2 linked regions of the Macaca mulatta genome follow. Each later gene encodes a partner of the first gene's protein in a complex. Links are inferred from orthologs where the notes say so. Each region holds a gene or a part of one and is shown in the gene's direction. Other genes may lie near its edges.

Evidence for each region. Proteins that work in one complex are often made in the same cells at the same time.
Region 2: LAMTOR4 (region 1) and LAMTOR3 share a complex: the UniProt entries of both Homo sapiens proteins name them as parts of the ragulator complex. The link is inferred for Macaca mulatta from reciprocal best matches to the Homo sapiens genes LAMTOR4 and LAMTOR3.

The regions. Positions count from the first base shown.
Region 1 is NC_133408.1:47,464,472-47,474,631, forward strand, and holds LAMTOR4 (ragulator complex protein LAMTOR4), read left to right. Parts: upstream 1-3,859; 5' UTR 3,860-3,927; coding exon 3,928-4,008; intron 4,009-4,449; exon of another isoform or gene 4,450-4,450; coding exon 4,451-4,531; exon of another isoform or gene 4,532-4,785; intron 4,786-7,231; exon of another isoform or gene 7,232-8,033; intron 8,034-8,269; coding exon 8,270-8,387; intron 8,388-8,717; coding exon of another isoform or gene 8,718-8,734; coding exon 8,735-8,832; 3' UTR 8,833-9,075; downstream 9,076-10,160. Other genes in the region: TRAPPC14 (trafficking protein particle complex subunit 14), read right to left, coding at 9,900-10,053, 10,151-10,160. UniProt on the Homo sapiens protein: As part of the Ragulator complex it is involved in amino acid sensing and activation of mTORC1, a signaling complex promoting cell growth in response to growth factors, energy levels, and amino acids.
Region 2 is NC_133410.1:109,206,336-109,216,589, reverse strand, and holds the start of LAMTOR3 (ragulator complex protein LAMTOR3), read left to right. Parts: upstream 1-3,303; 5' UTR 3,304-3,387; intron 3,388-3,720; 5' UTR 3,721-3,757; coding exon 3,758-3,766; intron 3,767-5,701; coding exon 5,702-5,736; intron 5,737-10,254. Other genes in the region: uncharacterized protein LOC144340815, read right to left, coding at 3,055-3,303. UniProt on the Homo sapiens protein: As part of the Ragulator complex it is involved in amino acid sensing and activation of mTORC1, a signaling complex promoting cell growth in response to growth factors, energy levels, and amino acids.

The DNA.
Region 1 (10,160 bases):
GGCACGATCTCGGCTCACTAAAACCTCCGCCTCCCAGGTTCAGGCAATTCTGTGCCATAGCCTCCCAAGTAGCTGGGATTACAGGTGCCCACAACCACACCCGGCTAATTTTTTGTATTTTTAGTAGAGATGGGGGTTTCTCCATCTTGCCAGGCTGGTCTTGAACTCCTGGCCTCGTGATCCACCTGCCTCGGCCTCCAAAAGTGCTAGAATTACAGGAGTGAACCACCATGCCCAGCCAAGTCTGAGAAGCTTTCTAATGCCAGAGTTACGTCAAAAAGGACACAAGCCAACTCAGCAAAAATTGTGAACATTTGAATATTAGAGAAAACAATGATTGTACTGATTGAGCTACATCAAATCAATAAAAATCTATGTGTCCATAATGGCATTCAAAAAGGTAAAGCCATTTGTCACACTGGACATGGCAGCTCACACCTATAATCCCAACACTTTGGGAGGCCGAGGCAGGCGGATCACTTGAGCCCAGGAGTTCGAGACCAACCTGGGCAACATGGAGAGAACCTGTTTCTACAAGAAATAAAAAAATTAGCCAGGTGGGGTGGTGCACGTCTGTAGTCCCAGCTTCTCAGGAGGCTAAGGTGAGAGGATTGCTCCAGCCCGGGAGTTCAAGGCTGCAGTGAGCCATGATCACACCACTGGACTCAAGCCTGTGCAACGGAGCAAGATCCTTTCTTTAAAAAAAAAAAAAAAAAAAAAAAAAAGGGCTGGGTGCAGTGGCTCACGCCTGTAATCCCAGCACTTTGGGAGGCCGAGGCGGGCGGATCATGAGGTCAGGAGATCAAGATCATCCTGGCTAACACGATGAAACCCCATCTCTACTAAAAATACAAAAAAAATAGCCGGGATGGCGACATGCCCCTGTAATCCCAGCTACTTGGGAGGCTGAGGCAGGAGAATTGCTTGAACCCGAGAGGCGGAGGTTGCAGTGAGCTGAGAGTGCACCACTGCACTACAGCCTGAGCAACATAGCGAGACTCCATCTCAAAAAAAAAAAAAAAAAAGTTGAACTGATACTTCACAAAATATGATATCCCAAAAGACAAACCTGTCTGAAAATGTGATCAACCTCATTAATATTTAGGTAAATGCAAATAAAAACCACAATGAGAAGCCATCACATATCTAAAAGTGTGGCAATACTGGCTAGGTGTGGTGGCTCATACCTGTAATCCCAACACTTTGGGTGGCTGACGTGGGCAAATCACGAGGTCAAGAGATCGAGACTATCCTAGCCAACATGGTGAAACCTGTCTCTACTAAAAATATAAAAATTAGCTGGGTGTGGTGGTGCGCTCCTGTAGTCCCAGCTACTCAGGAGGCTGAGGCAGAAGAATTGCTTGAACCCGGGAGGCGGAGGTTGCAGTGAGCCGAGATTGCGCCACTGCACTCCAGTCTGGGCAACAGAACGAGACTCTGTCTCAAAAAAAAAAAAAAAAAAAAAAAGTGTCGTAATACCAAGTGTTAATGGAGCTGGAGATAACCGGGAACTCTGACACATTGCTAGAGGAGTGTGAGCTGGTCTAACCAGTTTGATTTGCAGATCATAGATAAAAAAGATAGGGAACTCTGATTCATTTTTTTCTGGCAACCTGCTCTATCTACCAAAAGCAGATAAATAATATACCAAAAAGAAACTATAGTCCAATCTCATTTATCATAATGGATTTTTAAAATTCTAAGTAAAGCAGTACAACAAATGGGTAGTATAATTTGTTCCAGTAGATTTTATTCCAGAAACACAAAGATAGTTAAATATCACTTGATCTTAGCCAGAAGGTCGAGAAGCGATAAAGATGGTTAAATATCAAGAATACTGCCACTGGCTGGGCACAGTGGCTCACGCCTGTAATCCCAGCACTTTGGGAGGCCGAGGCGGGTGGATCACCTGAGGTCGGGAGTTCGAGACCAGCCTGACCAACATGGGAAACCCCGTCTCTACTAAAAATAGAAAATTAGCTGGGCCTGGTGGCACATGCCTATAATCCCAGCTACTAGGGAGGCTGAGGCAGGAGAATTGCTTGAACCTGGGAGGCGGAGGTTGCGGTGAGCCGAGATCGTGCCATTGCACTCCAGCCTGGGCAACAAGAGTGAAACTCCGCCTCAAAAAACAAAACAAACAAACAAACAAAAGAATACTGCCACCATAATTTATTACATCAAAATCTTCTTTTTTTTTTGAGACGGAGTTTCATTCTTGTTGCCCAGGTCAGAGTGCAATGGCACAATCTTGGCTCATTGCAACCTCCGCCTCCTGGGTTCAAGGATTCTCCTGCCTCAGCCTCCCCAGTAGCTGGGATTACAGTCATGTACCACTGCACCTGCCTAATTTTTTTTTTTTTTTGTATTTTTTGTAGTGATGAGGTTTCACCATGTTGGCCAGGCAGGTCTTGAACTCCTGACCTCAGGTGATCCACCCGCCTTGGTCTCCCAAACAGCTGGGATTACAGGTGTGAGCTACCATGCCCAGCCTTGATTGTTGTTTCTAACAAGTCTTAAAAGACACCCAGACTTCAACAATTGTTACTATATTCAGATTTTTTTGGTTTGTTTTTGAGACAATCTTGCTCTTTTACCCAGTCTGGAGTGCAGTAGCATGATCATGGCTCACTGCAGCTTCAAACTCCTGGGCTCAAGCAATTCTCCCACCTCAGCCTCCCCGGTAGCTGGGACTACATGTGCGGTATCATGCCTGGTTAATTTTTAAATTTTTAGAGATGGGGTCTTGCTATGTTGCCCAGGCTTCTAGAATCACTCTTCATATTACTCACTAACACTGCCTCCACCACATTAATACGGCAACAGGTCTAGAAATTATTTAAAACAAAAATTTCCAATGTTTACATTGTGTGATGTATGTATGTATGTATGTATGTGTGTGTGTGTGTGTGTGTGTATCATTCCAAGGTACTGTTTCTAATTTTTTCCTGCAGAGAATATTCAGTATTGTATCTGCATTGGCTAGCTGGTGATTCTATTCACCATCACATTGTCCCAGACTGAATCTGAAGACAAAAAACCACTTTGGGAACAAAATCTTTTTTTTTTTTTTTTTGAGATGTAGTCTCGCTGTCTCCCAGGCTGGAGTGCAGTGGCGTCATCTCGACTCACTGCAAGCTCCACCTCCCAGGTTCGCGCCATTCTCCTGCCTCAGCCTCCCGAATAGCTGGAACTACAGGCGCCCGCCACCACGCCTAGCTAATTTTTTTGTATTTTTTAGTAGGGACAGGGTTTCACTGTGTTAGCCAGGATGGTTTCCATCTTCTGACCTCGTGATCCGCCCGCCTCGGCCTCCCAAAGTTCTGGGATTACAGTTGTGAGCCACCGCGCCCGGCCAAGGGAACAAATTCTTGTCTTCAACAAAGAGCGGTCTTGAGTAGGCATAAAAGTAGCATTTGAAGGTTGGGCGCCCAGCCTTGAATAGCTTTTTACATGCATTGCACGTTATTTCCTTTTATTATCACGTTTTTTGGGTCCAGTCTTAAACCTGGGAAGGCATTCGTTTGGGAGGTCACACTAGCGGGCATCCTGGTTCAGGCGGAACCCAGACTCTAGAAAGCGCGCGCGGAGCCACACGGTCAACCCTGTCCCACTCCTGGCCCTCCCACACCGTCCCCTCCGCGGAAGCACTCCCGCCTCCTCTCGCTCAGGCACTGACTGAGAGGCGGGGAGATGGGTGTTAAAGAGGGGATATCACCAATCAACGTGCGCCTCCGGGAAGGAGCGCTTCGCACTGGCTGGTTGGGTCTGACGACGTGGCCACGATCCAATCCTCATGCTAGAGGCGCGGCTAAAGGGTAGGGAAGCAAGCAGAAGGAGGAGCGCTCCGGGTGCGAGCACGTGACCGGGGCCTGAAGCCGGAAGCTACCTATCTGGTAGGGAGCTCCACCAGCACCGAAGACTGCGATGGTGAGTGAGGACGCATGCGCGGGAGGACCCGCCGGGGGTTCCGCGTCTCTGCTCCCCAATCTGTGTGGTTTCCCCCTCGTGGGTCTGCGCTCCACCCTCACCTCCTATCCGCTCGGGGAGGAAGACGGGATGGAGATGGGAGGGATGGCGATGGGAATGCTGGGGAGGGGTCTGTGGGAGGGTGTTCTGGGGCTGCGGGTAGTCTGCAGGTCAGGGGCGGGGAGGTGGAGAGAGGGTCTGGGGGCAGGGGCCAGTGGGGCAGCGAAGTCCCCTCGGAGTAGCATAGGTGGAGCGTGGAAGGCCAGGGGAGCCCGGGGGCCGAGAGTGGGGGCAGATGGAGGCTCGGGAAGATCAGTATTGAGGACCATGTAGGGGGAAGGGAGCCGGGAAAGGACCTGGCTGGGGAATGAGAAAACCTGGGGCCATCGCCAATCAAGAGACTTGGGTTTGTAGGTGAAGGGTATCAGGGGCCATCCATCCCTCTAGCATGCTTCTCACTACTTGCATCTTTACCCACTAGACTTCTGCACTGACCCAGGGGCTGGAGCGAATCCCAGACCAGCTCGGCTACCTGGTACTGAGTGAAGGTGCAGTGCTGGCGGTGCGTTCTGGGAAAGGGAGGGGGTCCCTTAGTGCACACAGCCCGGTAACCCCTTCTAATATTGGCCCTTCTTTTCTCGACTTTTACCTGGTTTGCGGTCTGGCATCTATTAGGTTGGTACAAAAGTATTTGCAGTTTTTGCAATTACTTTCAGTAATCAGTCTGTGGAATCTTAGTCTCCTAACGGTTGCGGTTTATTTATTTACTTATTTATTTACACTTTTTGAAACTGAGTTTCATTCTTGTTGCCCAAGCTGGAGTGCAGTGGTGCGATCTCGGCTCACTGCAACCTCCGCCTCCGGGGTTCAAGCGATTGTCCTGCCTCAGCCTCCAGAGTAGCTGGGATTACAGGCATGTGCCACCACGCTCGGCTATTTTTTTGTATTTTTAGTAGAAACGGGGTTTCACCGTGTTAGCCAGGCTGGTCTCAAACTCCTGACCTCAGGTGATCCATCTGCCTCAGCCTCCCAAAGTGCTGGGATTACAGGCGTGAGCCAACATCCCTGGCCTTTATTTGATATTTCTTAAAGAGTCATTTGTATTTTGTTCCATAGTACTGTATAGTGTTAGGTCTCTAGATGTTTTTGATTTAGCTAGAGACAAAGCTTAAGGTTAAGTGTTGAAAACAATACAGGTGGTAAAAGACTATTGAAGGAATCCAGGATATTAAAAATTCAACATGTTATGACAAGGTAACTAACTTCCCTGGAGGTAGGAATTCAGCCCAGCTTAAAGGAGAGTATTTACAGTGGGGAGGTGGACATATTTGCAGGTGTGTGGCACTGACCTTTCTAAACTGATGGTAAGTCTGTGCTGAAAAGATTTGGGAAGATTTGAGGGAAGAGGAAGATATGGTCAGGGAGGATCTGATTGTGAAGGATCTTCAAGGCCAGGTTAACACACTTGAACTTATTCTTCTTGGAGGTAATACAGCTTGAAAGGTTTTTTAAACAGAAACAAGACCCAGTGAGGTGGTTGAGCAATATTGTTGTTAGTGATGTGAAGATGGGCAGAAGGAGGCATCATTAAGAGATTAGACTGGGCCAGGCATAGGTGGCTCACGTCTTTAGTAATCCCAGCATTTTGGGAGGCCAAGGCGAGTGGATCACGAGGTCAGGAGATCTAGACCATCCTGGCCAACACGGTGAAACCCTGTCTCTGTTAAAAATACAAAAACAAAATTGGCCAGGCGTGGTGGTGGGCGCCAGCTACTCGGGAGGCTGAGGCGGGAGAATGGCGTGAACCAGAAAGGCGGAGGTTGCAGTTAGCCAAGATTGCACCACTGCACTCCAGCCTGGGTGACAGAGCAAGACTCCGTCTCAAAAAAAAAAAAAAAAAAAAAGAGATGAGACTGGGCAAGTGGCAGTAAGAAGGAGCAAGGAGAGAAGAGTTTTGTTTTTGTTTTTGTTGTTTTTTGAGACAGAGTCTCGCTCTGTGGCCCAGGCTGGAGTGCAGTGGCATGATCTCAGCTCAGGGCAACTTCCGCCTCCCAGGTTCAAGCGATTCTCCCGCCTAAGCCTCCTGAGTAGCTAGGATTACAGGCGTGTGCCACCACACCCGGCTAATTTTTGTATTTTTAGTAGAGATGGGATTTTGCCATGTTGGCCAGGCTGGTCTCGAACTCCTGACCTTGTGATCTGCCCACCTCAGCCTCCCAAAGTGCTGGGATTACAGGCATGAGCCACCGCGCCCGGCCCTTTTTTTTTTTTTTTTTTTTTAGGACAGAGTCTTGCTGTCACTCAGGCTGAAGTGCAGTAGTGTGATCACATCTCATTGCAGTCTTGAACTCCTGGGCCCAAGCGATCCTCCCACCTCAGCATCCCAAGTAACTAGAACTATAGGCAAGCACCACCACGCCCAGCCATTAAAAAAAAAAAATTTATAGGGACAGGGGTCTTGCTATGTTGCCCAGGTTGGTCTCGAAGTCCTGGCCTCCATCAGTCCTCCTGCCTTGGCCTCCCAAAGTGCTGGGATTATAGGTATGAGCTACTGTGCTTGGCTGGGAGAAGATATTTTAAAGAAGGAATCAGTATATCTTGCTAATGACTAGAAATAGGTAATAAAAGAAATACTTCTCTAGCTAGAACTTTAAAGCCTGGAAGAGTGATGATGCCTTAAGAAACATGTTCCTTAAGGCCGGGCGCGGTGGCTCAAGCCTGTAATCCCAGCACTTTGGGAGGCCGAGACGGGCGGATCACGAAGTCAGGGGATCGAGACCATCCTGGCTAACCCGGTGAAACCCCGTCTCTACTAAAAATACAAAAAACTAGCCGGGCGAGGTGGTGGGCGCCTGTAGTCCCAACTACTCGGGAGGCTGAGGCAGGAGAATGGCGTGAACCCGGGAGGCGGAGCTTGCAGTGAGCTGAGATCCGGCCACTGCACTCCAGCCTGGGCGGCAGAGCGAGACTCCGTCTCAAAAAAAAAAAAAAAAAAAAAAAAAGAAACATGTTCCTGTGTGGTGGCTCACACCTATAATCCCAGCACTTTCGGAGGCTGCTGAGGTGGGTGGATCACTTGAGGTCAGGAGTTTGAGACCAGCCTAGCCAGCATGGTGAAACCCCATCTTTACTGAAAATACAAAAAACTAGCCTGGCATGGAGGCACATGCCTGTAATCCCAGCTACTTGGGAGGTTGATGCAGGAGAATTGCTTGAACCCAGGAGGCAGAGGTTGCAGCGAGCCAAGAGTGCACCACTGCACTCCAGCCTGGGCGATAGAGTGAGACTCCGTCTCAAAACACAAACAAACAAATCAAAAAAGGAAGTAGACTGGAAAGGAGGTGGATAAGGATAAGGTGAAATTTGATGGCCCAACTTTAGACATTGAGTTTGATGTAAAATAGCAGTTAATATATATTGCTAGCTCAGCAAAAGGAACTAAATCTAGTGGAGGCCCATATCAAGGAAGAGGGAAGAGGAAGTTGAGACAGTCACCAGAAAAGAGGAACCCTAAGCCACTGTCCCATCACTTACTCTAGGGGTCAACAGAGGGAGGGATTCAAGGACAAACGGAATGTTTATGTTGGAGATTGTGCAAACAGGGCAGCAAGTGTGAAGATTGAGAAAAAGATGGAGCCATTAACAGGTCAGTGGTGGGCAGGCATTCATTTCGGAGAATGTGGTTTTATCAAATAGGCAGGGACATGGGAGAAATCCAGTTTCACGGGGTTAGAAAAGCATGGGTCAATAAAGACATGGATGGCCAAGCACGGTGGCTTACGTCTGTAATCCCAGCATTTTGGAAGGCTGAGGCGGGCAGATCATTTGAGGTCAAGAGTTTGAGACCAGCTGATTAATATGGTAAAACCTCGTCTCTACTAAAAATATAAAAAATTAGCCAGGTGTGGTGATGCTGGTATATACCTGTAATCTCAGCTACTTGGGAGGCTAAGGCAGGAGAATCACTTGAACGCGAGAGGCCAAGATTGCACCACTGCACTCCAGCGTGGGTGACAGAACGAGATTCCGTCTCAAAAAAAAAAAAAGAAAAAAAAAAAAAGAGAGATGGATAAGCTGCTGCTCATCCGGGAAAGTCCAGTATTACGGGAAACAGGATGGCATCTGGAGGGTGACAACATAGGGGGAGATTTCAGGTTTTTTCCAAAGCTGGGTGACCCAAGGGTACTGGCAAGCCAAGGGGGAGATGGTCTAAGTGTGAGAGCCAAGGGGACTGTGCCTGGAATTCCGTCCCGAGCCTGTGCCGTAATGCTCGCCCCCTCCCTCCTCCGTCTGCATGCAGTCATCTGGGGACCTGGAGAATGACGAGCAAGCAGCCAGTGCCATCTCTGAGCTGGTCAGCACGGCCTGCGGTTTCCGGCTGCACCACGGCATGAATGTGCCCTTCAAGCGCCTGTCTGGTGAGCCCCTGTCCCTGCCCTTGGTGGTAGTACTGGGAGGAAGGGCCGCTTCCAGAGGCTTCTCTTCTTCCTCCCAGCCTCCCACCATCTCCTCCTGGGGTCTCTGGTCTGGCCACTTTCCTCCCTTTGGGACTCCCCTGTATTAGAATTGTGAATGAGAAGGCAAGAGAAAGGAGATGTAGCAGAGGCCACTCATCTTCAAATCTCTGAGCCTGGAACGATAGAATTTCTTTGGCTTTGATCCCAGCCAATGTGCGTGTGGCCCCGCCCCATGGAGTCTGTTGCACCCACTAACTCTGTGCTCCCTTCCCTCTCCTGGGGCGGGGGAAGGTGTGTCTCTCCTCCAGTGGTCTTTGGAGAACACACGCTGCTGGTGACGGTGTCAGGACAGAGGGTGTTTGTGGTGAAGCGGCAGAACCGAGGTCGGGAGCCCATTGATGTCTGAGCCTGCCGGAGGGCGAGGGTCGGAGAAGCGGATTGGGTCCTGGGCCTCTGTGATGAGGCAGGCACAGCCGTCAGTCTTGGCTTGCTGCTAGAACTAGGGCCTTCTGCTCGCCCACCTCCTACCCCTACCTGGATGGGCCAAAGCTTGGAGACTGTGAGCTGTGTTAAGGAGAACAAGGGCAAGGAGACCTCCCTTTGTGCTCCCTCTCTCCCTCCCTAATAAACATGAGCCTGATGTTCTCTAGCCCAGGGACATGTGTGTTTAGTGTGGGAATGATTACACCCCATGTCTGTCTTCCACCTTCTGGGGAGAAAGTCATGCACTTTAGCCCAAGTTGGGTGTGGCAGGGGTGCCTCTGTGTGCTATAAAACTGGGAAATAGAAAAAGCTGGAGGGGAAGGGAGTCACTCTGAGCCCTGGCGACTTCTGCTCTTCCCATCAGTACACAAACTAGTCATCCTTCTCCCTCCTGAACAGGCATTTAATAGTCTTATTTCAGTTGGAAGCAATAGTTGGAGAATAAGTTACAGGAACAGACCAAAAAAAAAAAAAAAAACCACAACAACTTAAAGTGCTTCAGGCTGCAAAAGTAAACATGAGGGGCAGGAGGCCACCTGCCTGGCCCTGTCCCCAACCCCTGAGACAGGACGGTCACTGTCAGGGGCCCTTAGCCATCACCACCCTCTAATCTCAGCCCTGCAGGAGGGAGGGAGGGAATGTCAGAGGTGGGAAAGAACTCAAAGGGAATGAGGAAGATACTTTGTAAACTTAGAACCAGGGTAAAGGGCGGGGGGCAAGGGAGCTCTGGAAACCCTTGCCCTGGCCTAGGGGTGGGGCCAGCCCCCCCCCACAGGAACTCGGGGAATACTGGTGGCTTAGTCCCAGCCATGCCCGCCCACTTCACAGCTTTTCCCCCGTCCCTGATCAGCAGACACAGACAGGCAGCTCTGCCAGGCCTCTTCACCCCCGTCTGGGAGGCATCCCAGGGGAGGCACAGCCCGGGAGCAGGGATCCCCTCTGGGGGCATTGGGTCTCTGGAGTGTAAGAGGGAACAGAGCTGGCACGATGCTACTTGACGGGTTCCACCACCAAGACCTTGCACTCGCGCTTGGCAATCTTGTCCAGAGACAACACAGCCTTGTCCGGGGGCAGGTAGAGGGGGCGGCCAACAGGAGAGGCCACAGGGGGCGTGATGGCCCTGCGCTCCATCACACTGCCCGACCTGGGGGAAGGCAGAGGCTGTGGGCGCTGGTCAGACCCGGCACCCTCCCTGCTCCCAGCCTCTACCCCATCCCATGCCACGCCCCCTGGTTCTGTACCTCATGAGGT
Region 2 (10,254 bases), on another chromosome or scaffold:
CTGAACAGAAAAACTAATGAAAATCAACAATACCTATTTTAATTTTCATTCAACAGCTGAAAAACCATGTCTGTTGACCACATTGGACTATTGCCTAGTTAAAATCCATAAAATACCCTATAAACCAATGAAAAGAAAGTAATCTGGCAATAATTTCCAACATTTTAAATTCTAATTTCTAGTTACAAAGAAAAAGGATAGAATGAGGCTTTTCAAGGAATTCTTGTTCATCCCTTCAATAATTTGGCAGGCAAAACAGTCCTAGAATTCAGCTTCCTTTTTGGTTTTATTACTATTAAATAGATAACTTTCATATAAATGGAAACACTTTTCCTCAAAACATTAATTCAAAACATACTCCTTATATTAAGGATTATAGTACCACATTTTTTGTAAATTCCCTATGTGTAACTTTTTCCTGTTGGTATGTGATTTTTTTTATTTAATATGACTATCTGCTGGTGTTGGGGCCAATAGATTTGTGAATATTCTGTGGATGTGTCTATGTACAGGTGTATATATATATTTTTTTCCAGCTAATACCTCAAATGTGTGATTGTTTAATATATACCACACTATGTTTGCACAGTGCAGGGCTTCCATTAGCAGTGGATATTTTTATTTCTAACTTTGAAAATCAGTCAACACAATTTCATTGGTGTGACTTCTTTCTGTTGCTCTTTTTCATATTTTAATGCAGAGATTCCTATTATAAGGTCCATGCTTCAAACATAATTATATCTTTCTATATCCAGCCATCTGGAAATATATAGGGTTAAGAAGTATTTCTTGAAATGTCCTTGTTTAGTAAGTTAGTAAAAACTGGGATGACTAGTTGCCAAGATGTCTTGTAACTGCATAGCAGATGACACCTGGCATGGCAAGCCTCATTCACTTCAGCACAAGACTGTACATTTCAATCTGATATTCTACTTTGCCATTTAAGTACACAATTAAAATCAGAGATTTTCAGTGACATTGGAGTATTGTAATTATTAGTTTCAAAAAGAATTATTTTGAATAGGATGATTAAACCAGTGAGAAGAAAGAAACACACATAAATGATATTTTGCAGTTTATCTGTATTAAGAAATGCTTCTTGCCAATTTCTGGTTTTGGTTTTTGGATTGCTGCATAAGACTTTCTTTCCATTTACTTTATGTATTTTTAAAAGCTGCAGGTAATTTTTAAGGTTTGATGGAATTATAATGGAAGCCTTGTATAAGTTAAATGAAACTAGTAAAGGAGAGCTTACTTTGTCTATAATGCATTCAGGATTATAAATTAGATTTTAAAATGAAATGTCTGATTTGTAAAATATTTAATGTTATATCAGACTTAAATAAAATTTTCTGTGAGAACGCAAAGTAAATGCATTTGATTTTTAATGAATGTTCTGAATGAAATATGAATTTTTGTCTTTCAGTCTCTGTAGTTTATCTCAATATATTAATAAAAAGGTCTGTTCTCACTGTAAAATGTTTGTTTTTATCATGTTTTATACTCTTAATATGGCCACTCTTTCATTCATTCAACTAGGCAACAAGTGTATCAATGCTTGCTATATCCCAGGCAGTGAGCTGGGTGCTGGGAATCAATCATTGAATAAGAAAGACAAAAACCTTAGAGTTTCCATCTAGCAAAGAAAATAAATATCAAGTAAATAATTATAATTATGATAAATTCTACAAAGAAAATTACAGGGCACAATGAAAGCATTTATCTAGAAGGCCTAAACTATTCAGTGAGGGTCAGGAAAGGCTTCTCTGAGAGTGAGTTTAAGCTGAAAGGCAAAAGAAGAGATTAGTAGGATTAAGGTATGCTAGAGAAATATCTCAGGCAGAATGTGCTAAGTTGGTAAAGTGATAAAAATCTTTATGGAAGTGGAAACAAACTTGTATGATCATAGCATAAGGAATCCAGGGTAGGTGAGAGAATCAATATAGGGGCCAGATCCCCATAAGAACGATATATAAACCATGATGCTGATATTGAACTTTATAATAAAGTTGATTTTCAAGAAAGGAGTTAAATGATCCGATTTGGGTTTTTAGAACATCATTTTTGTTGCTCTATGGAGACTGGAGGGCAAAAGAGAATGTAAGAAGAATAGGAGGTTATTGTCAAGAGAGAGATGATCATGGCTTGCACTAGGGTACGAACATAGATAGGTGACTAGTTTTCAAAGATAGGAGGTAGAATCAACAGAACTCTGATTAGATTTGTGACATGCAAGCAGCAATTAAAAACCAGGCTAAAATTTTCTGAAAATTTGGCTATGAAAGGGAGTAGAGGAAAAACAGGGTGGTAGCTGAAAGAGGATGTGATTTCTAAAGAAGCTTTTCTTTTGAGCATCTCGCTCTGTCACTCAAGCTGGAGTTCAGTGGGGCGATCACCACTCAATGCAGCCTCAAACCCTGGGCTGAAGGGATCCTCATGCCTCAGCTTCCGGAGTACCTGGCGCACGCCACGTAAGGCTAATTCTTTATTGTTGTTATTATTATTAGTAGTAGTAGTAGTAGTAGAGATGGGGTTCTATCTTGCCAGGCTGGTGTGGAACTCCTGGGCTCAAAGGATCGTCCCGCCTCGGACTCCCAAAGTGCTGGGATTACAGGCGTCAGTCACCGCACCCGGCAAGGCTTTTTTTTTTTTTTTTTTTTTTTTTTCCAATTATTATTTATTATATGAGACCTTACTAATTTTTAAAAATTCTGATGTAAAAGGGAACATAGAAAGTACCCGTAATCCCGTGTCTGCATGTTAAAAGTAGACGCTTGAAGTGCTCCAGAAAACCCATGGCTCCTCCCCATTCAATCTAGATAAGGCCTTGAGTAAAGAGCACCCATGGGGAAGTCACAAGAACCTAGGAAACAAGTCAGAAACCTGTGGACCTGATACTTCCAATCACAGGCAATCTGTTGCTTGCTCTTCAGCTCATCACACCATCCCCTCAAATTACTTCATCTACAAGAAAAGGTTTTAAGATAACGGACCCTGAAAAACTAATGACATTTATACACCCTCTCTGCACAAGAATGTCTTGTAACACATAACCTTGCTTGCATTTTCTGGGGTCCTCAGGGTCCAGCGATCTCGTACAAATCCTCTACCCCACAGCTGACGTCCCTCGGCCCGTGACACAAGGCGCAGGCGCAAGACGCGGCCCGCGGTGGGCGGGGGAGGGGCGGGGCGCGTCGGGCGGCCGCGCCCTCGAAGCTTCCGCCAGGCCCTTCCGGAAATCCAGTATCGTGGGGCGACGGCGTAGAAAGTGCTTCCCGGAGCGCCGAAGAGGTCATCAATCATGTGACGGTGGCTTGAGGAGGAACCTGTCTTTAAAGCTGTCCCTGAAGTGACAACGGAGAGAACCAGGCAACCCAGAAACCCCAGGTAACTGGCGCTACTTTGCCTGGTTTGAGGCCTAGTCCCGGAGGTGGCGCGGGTGGTGAGACTAAACAGAAGGAGAGGGCCCCCTCTTCTTTTGTTTGGGCCTAGCTCTTTGGGGTGGAGGGGCAGGGATGGGGTGGGCTGAGGCAAGGCGTGCCAGCTGAGTACCCGTGGGGGTGTTGGGGCACTCCGACTCCCACTGGGCTCGCTGGGCCAAGCCCTAGAACCGCGGGGGTTTTGCCGGGTTCTGACCAGGGCTGATCTTGCTTATTAAGTTGGGGGTGGGGAGGACGAGGAAGCCAAAGAGGTAAGAGTCACCGGGAGTTTCTCTTCCAGGCGTGGAGATTGATCCTGCGAGAGAAAGGGGTTCATCATGGCGGATGTGAGTGACACCCCCACATAAGAGGAAGGGAGAGTGGGGAATTTGGAGGGGAATACTGAGCGGGGAGAGGTAGAAGATCCTCCCATCCCCACCCATCCCAGTTAATTATTTTCTCTTGTATGTGAAATGGGAGACTAATATGAATGAATTTGCAGGATCCTGAGTTTCTGCCTCGAATGGGGGTGGAGGACACTAAGGTGCTTGAGACTGAGAAAATTATATTCTCCCTCCTCACCAATCCAGCTGGGGTATAAGAGAGGCTCTGTGTATTTACCATTTGAAATTCTGAATGATGGTTCGCTGCTTTTCCTGTCAGAATTTGGTCAGTAGGACATGTACCCAGAATACTTTTTTCCAGTAAGTGGTAACAATATCTTATTAGGTTTATTGTGGCAATTTACGATGATTTCTAACCCATGCCTCTTTAGAAACATAACATGAAATAAAATGAGGGGTGTGTGTGTGTGTGTAGGATGAGAGCAAAAATAAGCCAATAGTCATAACATGAAATAAAATGATCATTCGGGTTTGGAGAATAGTAAGTGTTGGAGGCTCAAAACAACAGATACCTGATTAATCCATGCGAGGTCAAAATTGATACCTCAAGTGTCAGTGAAATTCCTGGGATGAGAGAGTGTAATGAGACAAAATAAGATAATCTTCTGGCCGGTGAGGTGGCTTCGTCTGTAATCTCAGCATTTTGGGATGCCGAGATGGAAGGATCACTTGAGGCTGGGAGTTCAAGATCAGCCTGGGCAACGTAGCAAGACCCCGTTATACAAAAAGAAATTTAAAAACCAGGCGCATTGATAACCCTGTAGTCCCAGCTATGCTGGAAGTGAGGCGGAAGGATTGCTTGAGCCCAGAACTTGGAAGTTGCAGTGAGCCCCAGCTTAGAAAAATAAAATAGTCTTATATTTCTTTAGTCTTAACTGTGTTTAGTGTTAAACACTTGACACACTTCGCCATTTATCTTATATTCTGTAAGTCTGGGCTGGGCGTGGTGGCTCACGTCTGTAATCCCAGCACTGTGGGAAGCCAAGGCGGGTGGATCACCTGAGGTCAGGAGTTCGAGACCAGCCTGGCCTACATGGTGAAACCATATCTCTACTAAAAATACAAAAAAATAAGCTGGGACGTGGTGGTGGGTGCTTATAATGCCAGTTACTCGGAGGTTGAGGCAGGAGAATCGCTTGAACCTGGGAAGCAGAGGTTGCAGTGAGCCGAGATTGCGCCATTGCACTCCAGCCTGGACAGCAAGAGCAAAACTCCCTCTCAAAAACAAAAAAAAAGACTGTTGCCTCACATAGTCATATATAATTTATTTTAGGTCCTTAAACAGAATATTTTAATAATTATGTTATAATAATATGCCTTACACTGTTTCATTATTTGTTGAGTAGGTGAGTTCAACAAATAATGAAACAATGGAAGGCATATTTTTATAATGTGAGACAGCAGTCTTACAGAAGTCATATCACCTTACCCAAGACCATTAAAATGATGGTGGAAAGTCTATCTTTGAACCTGGAAAGGTGTTTATAATGTCTTCTCAAGTGAACACAATAGCAACAGGATATAAAACACTAGTATGAATATTATGATATATTTTTATGGCTAAAATGTATTTGTGTTTCCCATTTCTAGGTATGCTAATCCATGCAACTTCTCAAAAAACTTTAACAGCACTCTTATGATGTAGGTTCTATATTAGCCCTATTCAACAAATAATGAAATAGGCTTAGGGAAAAAAGGTTAGTTAACTTACTCCAAGTTGCATGACTAGTAAACATCCAAATCAGACAGAGAAAGATAAAACACAGCAAGAAAGGTTATGAATGATAACTGAACGTCCCTAAAATTTGGATAGGACAGGATCTAGAAAACAGTGGAAGGCCTATTATTATAACATGATTTTTTAATATTCTCTTTCAGGACCTAAAGCGATTCTTGTATAAAAAGTTACCAAGGTAAGAAATTTTTAATTTGTTACTGAATAAATTCTATATGCCATATGTTAATTTTATGAAGTATTTTGTCTGTGTATTTTCAATGTTTTGAAGTATCTCTGAGATTTCCTTTAATATGAATATTTTTTGCCAGCATCATGTCCTCTGGAAAATTTTCGTCACAACCGCTTTCCTCATTTATGTCAATAAGTTTGCCTTCACTGAGTTCTCTGTGTATCTAGAGGGATAGTGTCAGCATTCCCTTGGTCACCTGTTTCTTCTATAACTCTTTATTTGAAATTCACTTCCAGCATTATTACTTTTCATTTCTTTGCTGTATTTCATCTTTGTCGGCCAGTTTCCTCTTTTTATTATCTCTTTTTCTAAATGTCACATACTTTATCATTGGGAGACAAGGAGGTACAAAACTACATGCTTTGCTATCTCTGCACGAACTGCATAACAGATGCACAGTGACCAACCATCAACATACTTTGAAAGAAATGATGTGGCTGGTTACTGATGACAGTGTGCATCTCTTAGTTGCGTAATTATTTATGTTATGATTTGTAGACTAAAGAATTAGAAAAGTTTATACTACTTTATGCAGTTATTCAGGTATTATGCCATGCAAACTAAAATGTGCATATTGGGACTGTGCAAAATGAGGACTTTCTGTATTTTTCTGTAGTTACCTTAGCATAAAGGGTGCTCAAATTGGAATGCAGAGATACCCCACTACACTGGCGATATGACGAAATAGTTAATAGTGCAGTTAATTCACTTAGAAGTCTTAGTGATTTACAATCCTCTTTTGAGTGTTAGCATCTCTTATTGAAGAAACAGCAAAATTACATTCAATGTTCTTAAGTTATAAACCCACCAGAAAGATACCCATTATTCATCTGGAGATCTAATAAAGCAATAATTGATTCTAATTACATCATCTGTGATTATAAGTATCAGAAATGTTTCAGACAATGGTGATCTCATTTTAACTATTAAGTGTACTCTGAAAGTCATAATAGTGTGTGACACTGGGTATGGTGAAGCTGTCTGTATAAAGGAATTAGAGAATAATACCAGAAGTATTTATTATATTACTGAGTAGTTCTAATGTTGATCAGAAATAGTTGGAAAGTATATGCTTGCTCCTTCTTTGAATTCGGATGTCTTTTATCTTTTAACGAAAGGGGAAATACCAGGTTGTCGTGCTTATCCAAGAAATAAATTCAGTTAAAGGATATTTGTTAAAAGCTTTATGAAAGTCTTTCATAATGGCAGGAAAGGTATTAGTACTGTCAGGTTTTTTTTAAATAATGAAAAAAAGCCAGTTCAACTCATATCATTTACTGAAATTAGGCTTACTGCATCCCAGAACAATAATAATGAAGAAATAATAATGTTTTGAACATTCATGAAGAATAGTAGAATACACTTTGATTTGTTGCTAGATGTATGGGTTTGGATGCAGGCATCCTGCTTCAGAGCCATGGATTCATGCTTTTAACTGTTGAACCTCAGTGCCTCTCAGTAACAAAGTCTGCCAGCTATGGATACTAATGTGTGTTTTTGTGCATTTTTTGAATTCTCTGCAAAATATCGTTCTTGCGTTTGCAATTTAAAATCTGATTGTGACCCAAAGCAGTCTCAGGCTTTAATAATCCCACTTTGTATGTTTTAAAATAATCAAATATTTCATAATTATAAAACTAAATCTGATGACTTTCATTAGTACTGCAACATTTGTTTTTAGAAAAAAATGGTTGTTTTAGTAAGCTTAAGGTTTAGATTTCTTCAGAATATTTCACAAAATTTAATTCATTTCTTCTAAAAGTGTAATATCTCTTCATGAGCCAGTTATTTTTAATTATTAGTAAAATCTATTCATATTACTCTTTGTGCATTGTATGTAGAATTGAAAACAGCTTTTATATTGGGACCTGATTTCTAAAATTATATACTTAAGAGTGTAAGTAATTTTTCTACTTTCTTGAATTCATTTCTCTGTGAAGTCCATCAGAAAGAAAGTCCTTTTATTTTCTTTGGAGCATTAGTTGTATTTAAAGTAATTTCCATGGAAATTTTAAAAAAGAAGCTACCTGTGGTGGCACTAATTTTTCTAAACATTTTTGTGGTCCTCTTTACCTGTTTTTTAAGTTATTTTGGGAGTAGGTAGTACATTCATAAAGTTCAGATTCAGGAGTTCACTGAAGAACATAGAGTGAGTAGCTGCCCATCCTTCCTCTCCAGCCACATGCACAGTTTCCCCTCACAGAGGCACCCACCATTATCTGTAGAGATATTTTATGTACCTATGAGCAGACATGTATATACACATATTTATACACACAGCATACACATATGCCTGCACATTTTGGTACATAATTTATTGCTGCTTGTATACACTGTTCTAAACTGTATTTTTTCACTTAAGAATGTAACTTTGAGAGTAATCTTTCCTGGTACATAGAGAACTTCCTCTTTCTCATGACTGCAGAGTATTCCTTTGTAGGTGTATATCATATCTTACCTTGTCCTTCTTGATGGACAGTTGGGTTTGTAATGCTTTACTGTTTCAAATGATGTTGCTTTTGGTAACTGCACAAAATAATTGGCATATGTACAAATATCTGTAGGATATGTTTTATATAATCTAGTTTTTAACTTAGAAGAATATATTTATTTTATGTATTTATCTGTTTTGGTTTTTGTTTTTTTTTTTTTTTTTGAGACAGAGTCTCGTTCTGTCACCCAGGCTGGAGTGCAGTGGCGCGATCTTGGCTCACTGCAACCCAGGTTCAAATGATTCTCATGCCTCAGTCTCCCAAGTAGCTGGGATTACAGACAAGCACTACCACACCCGGCTAATTTTTGTATTTTTAATTGAGATGGGGTTTCATCATGTTTTCCAGGCTGGTCTCAAACTCCTGACCTCAGGTGATCTGCCCACCTTGGCCTCCCAAAGTGCTAGGATTACAGGCATGAGCCACCGTGCCTGGCCTATGTTATGTATTAATCTTAGAGATATATTTTAATCCATAAATAAGTTTAGGATTGAATGAATAGGAAATCATGCCAATAATAGGATAAAAATAGTATAAAAGTCATTTATAAAGTTATTTTATTCTTATTTTTTGTGTAAGGAAGACAAATGATTTTGTTTGTAACATTTTCCACTCGCATTTAATAACACTTCTCTGACTTAAAAGTTTTTGCAATGGGGTTTTTAAAAATTTAATGTCAGTATTTAAACATAAGGTTAATATACTATTTCTTATTCCTTAGTTAATATATTAAAGTTAACACTTTAAAGTTAACGCAAAGAATAGATAATTCCGGGTTGCAGTAGGGATATTGAACATATCTCTGAGTTGTAGTTTATAGATTCCATAAGATAGTTACAGGACTATAAGTTTTATGTTACAATGAAAGGGTTTTGCATAAATGTTGAAAGTTGAGGAGTGTCACCTTATATTTTTTAACAGTACTTTTGTGCTCTACTGTATGTATTTCTTAATTGCTAATTTCCCAGGGATTCTCACTGATTATTTAGTACTTAAACTTTAGTGATAAATTATGTCATTGTCACTGTGCACAATTGACACCATTGGTATTAGTTAATAAGTGATATTTTCTAATTATGTGCCAGCCAACACTTTATGTGCGTTGTATTAAATTTCACAATATCTAAGTAAGTACAGTTATTCCCATTTTTCAGATAGTTAATCTGAGGCTTATAAAGGTTTCATAACTAGCCCAAGACAGCATAAATAATCAGTGGCAGAGCCTGGACTGGAACCCAGGTCTTTCTAACTTTAGAGCTATAGCTTGACCATTCTGCTTACTACTTCTGTAAGCATGGCTGAAAGCATTGCTGCATGGCCTTCATTCGTTTTGCCCTGTTTCTTCAGCCAGGAACAGTCTTTCCACGTCTTTTCACTTAATACCATAACATCTCAGCTGAGATATTACTGCCTCAGAAAGCCTTCCCTGGTCCACTCTCTGTCTGCATCAACCTCCTGTTTTCTAGGTTCTCATATCACTATGAACTTTTTTTTTTTTTTTTTTTTTTTTTTTTGAGACAGAGTCTTGCTTTGTTGCCCAGGCTGGAGTGCAGTGGCACGATCTCAGCTCACTGCAAGCTCCGCCTCCCGGGTTCATGCCATTCTCCTGCCTCAGCCTCCTGAGTAGCTGGGACTACAGGTGCCCACCACCACGCCGGCTAATTTTTTTTTTTTTTTTTGTATTTTTTAGTAGAGACGGGGTTTCACCGTGTTAGCCAAGATGGTCTCGATCTCCTGACCTCGTGATCTGCCCGCCTCAGCCTCCCAAAGTGTTGGGATTACAGGCGTGAGCCACCGTGCCTGGCCCCTATGAACTTTTTAACAATACTTGCCCCCAATTTTAGTTTTACGTTTGTTCTTGTGAGATTATTGATAACACACTCACTTTTTAGATCGGAAGCCACGTGAAGGCAATGATTGTGCTTATTTCTGTTTTTCATAGTATCAAAGTATTAAGTGCCACAAACACCGG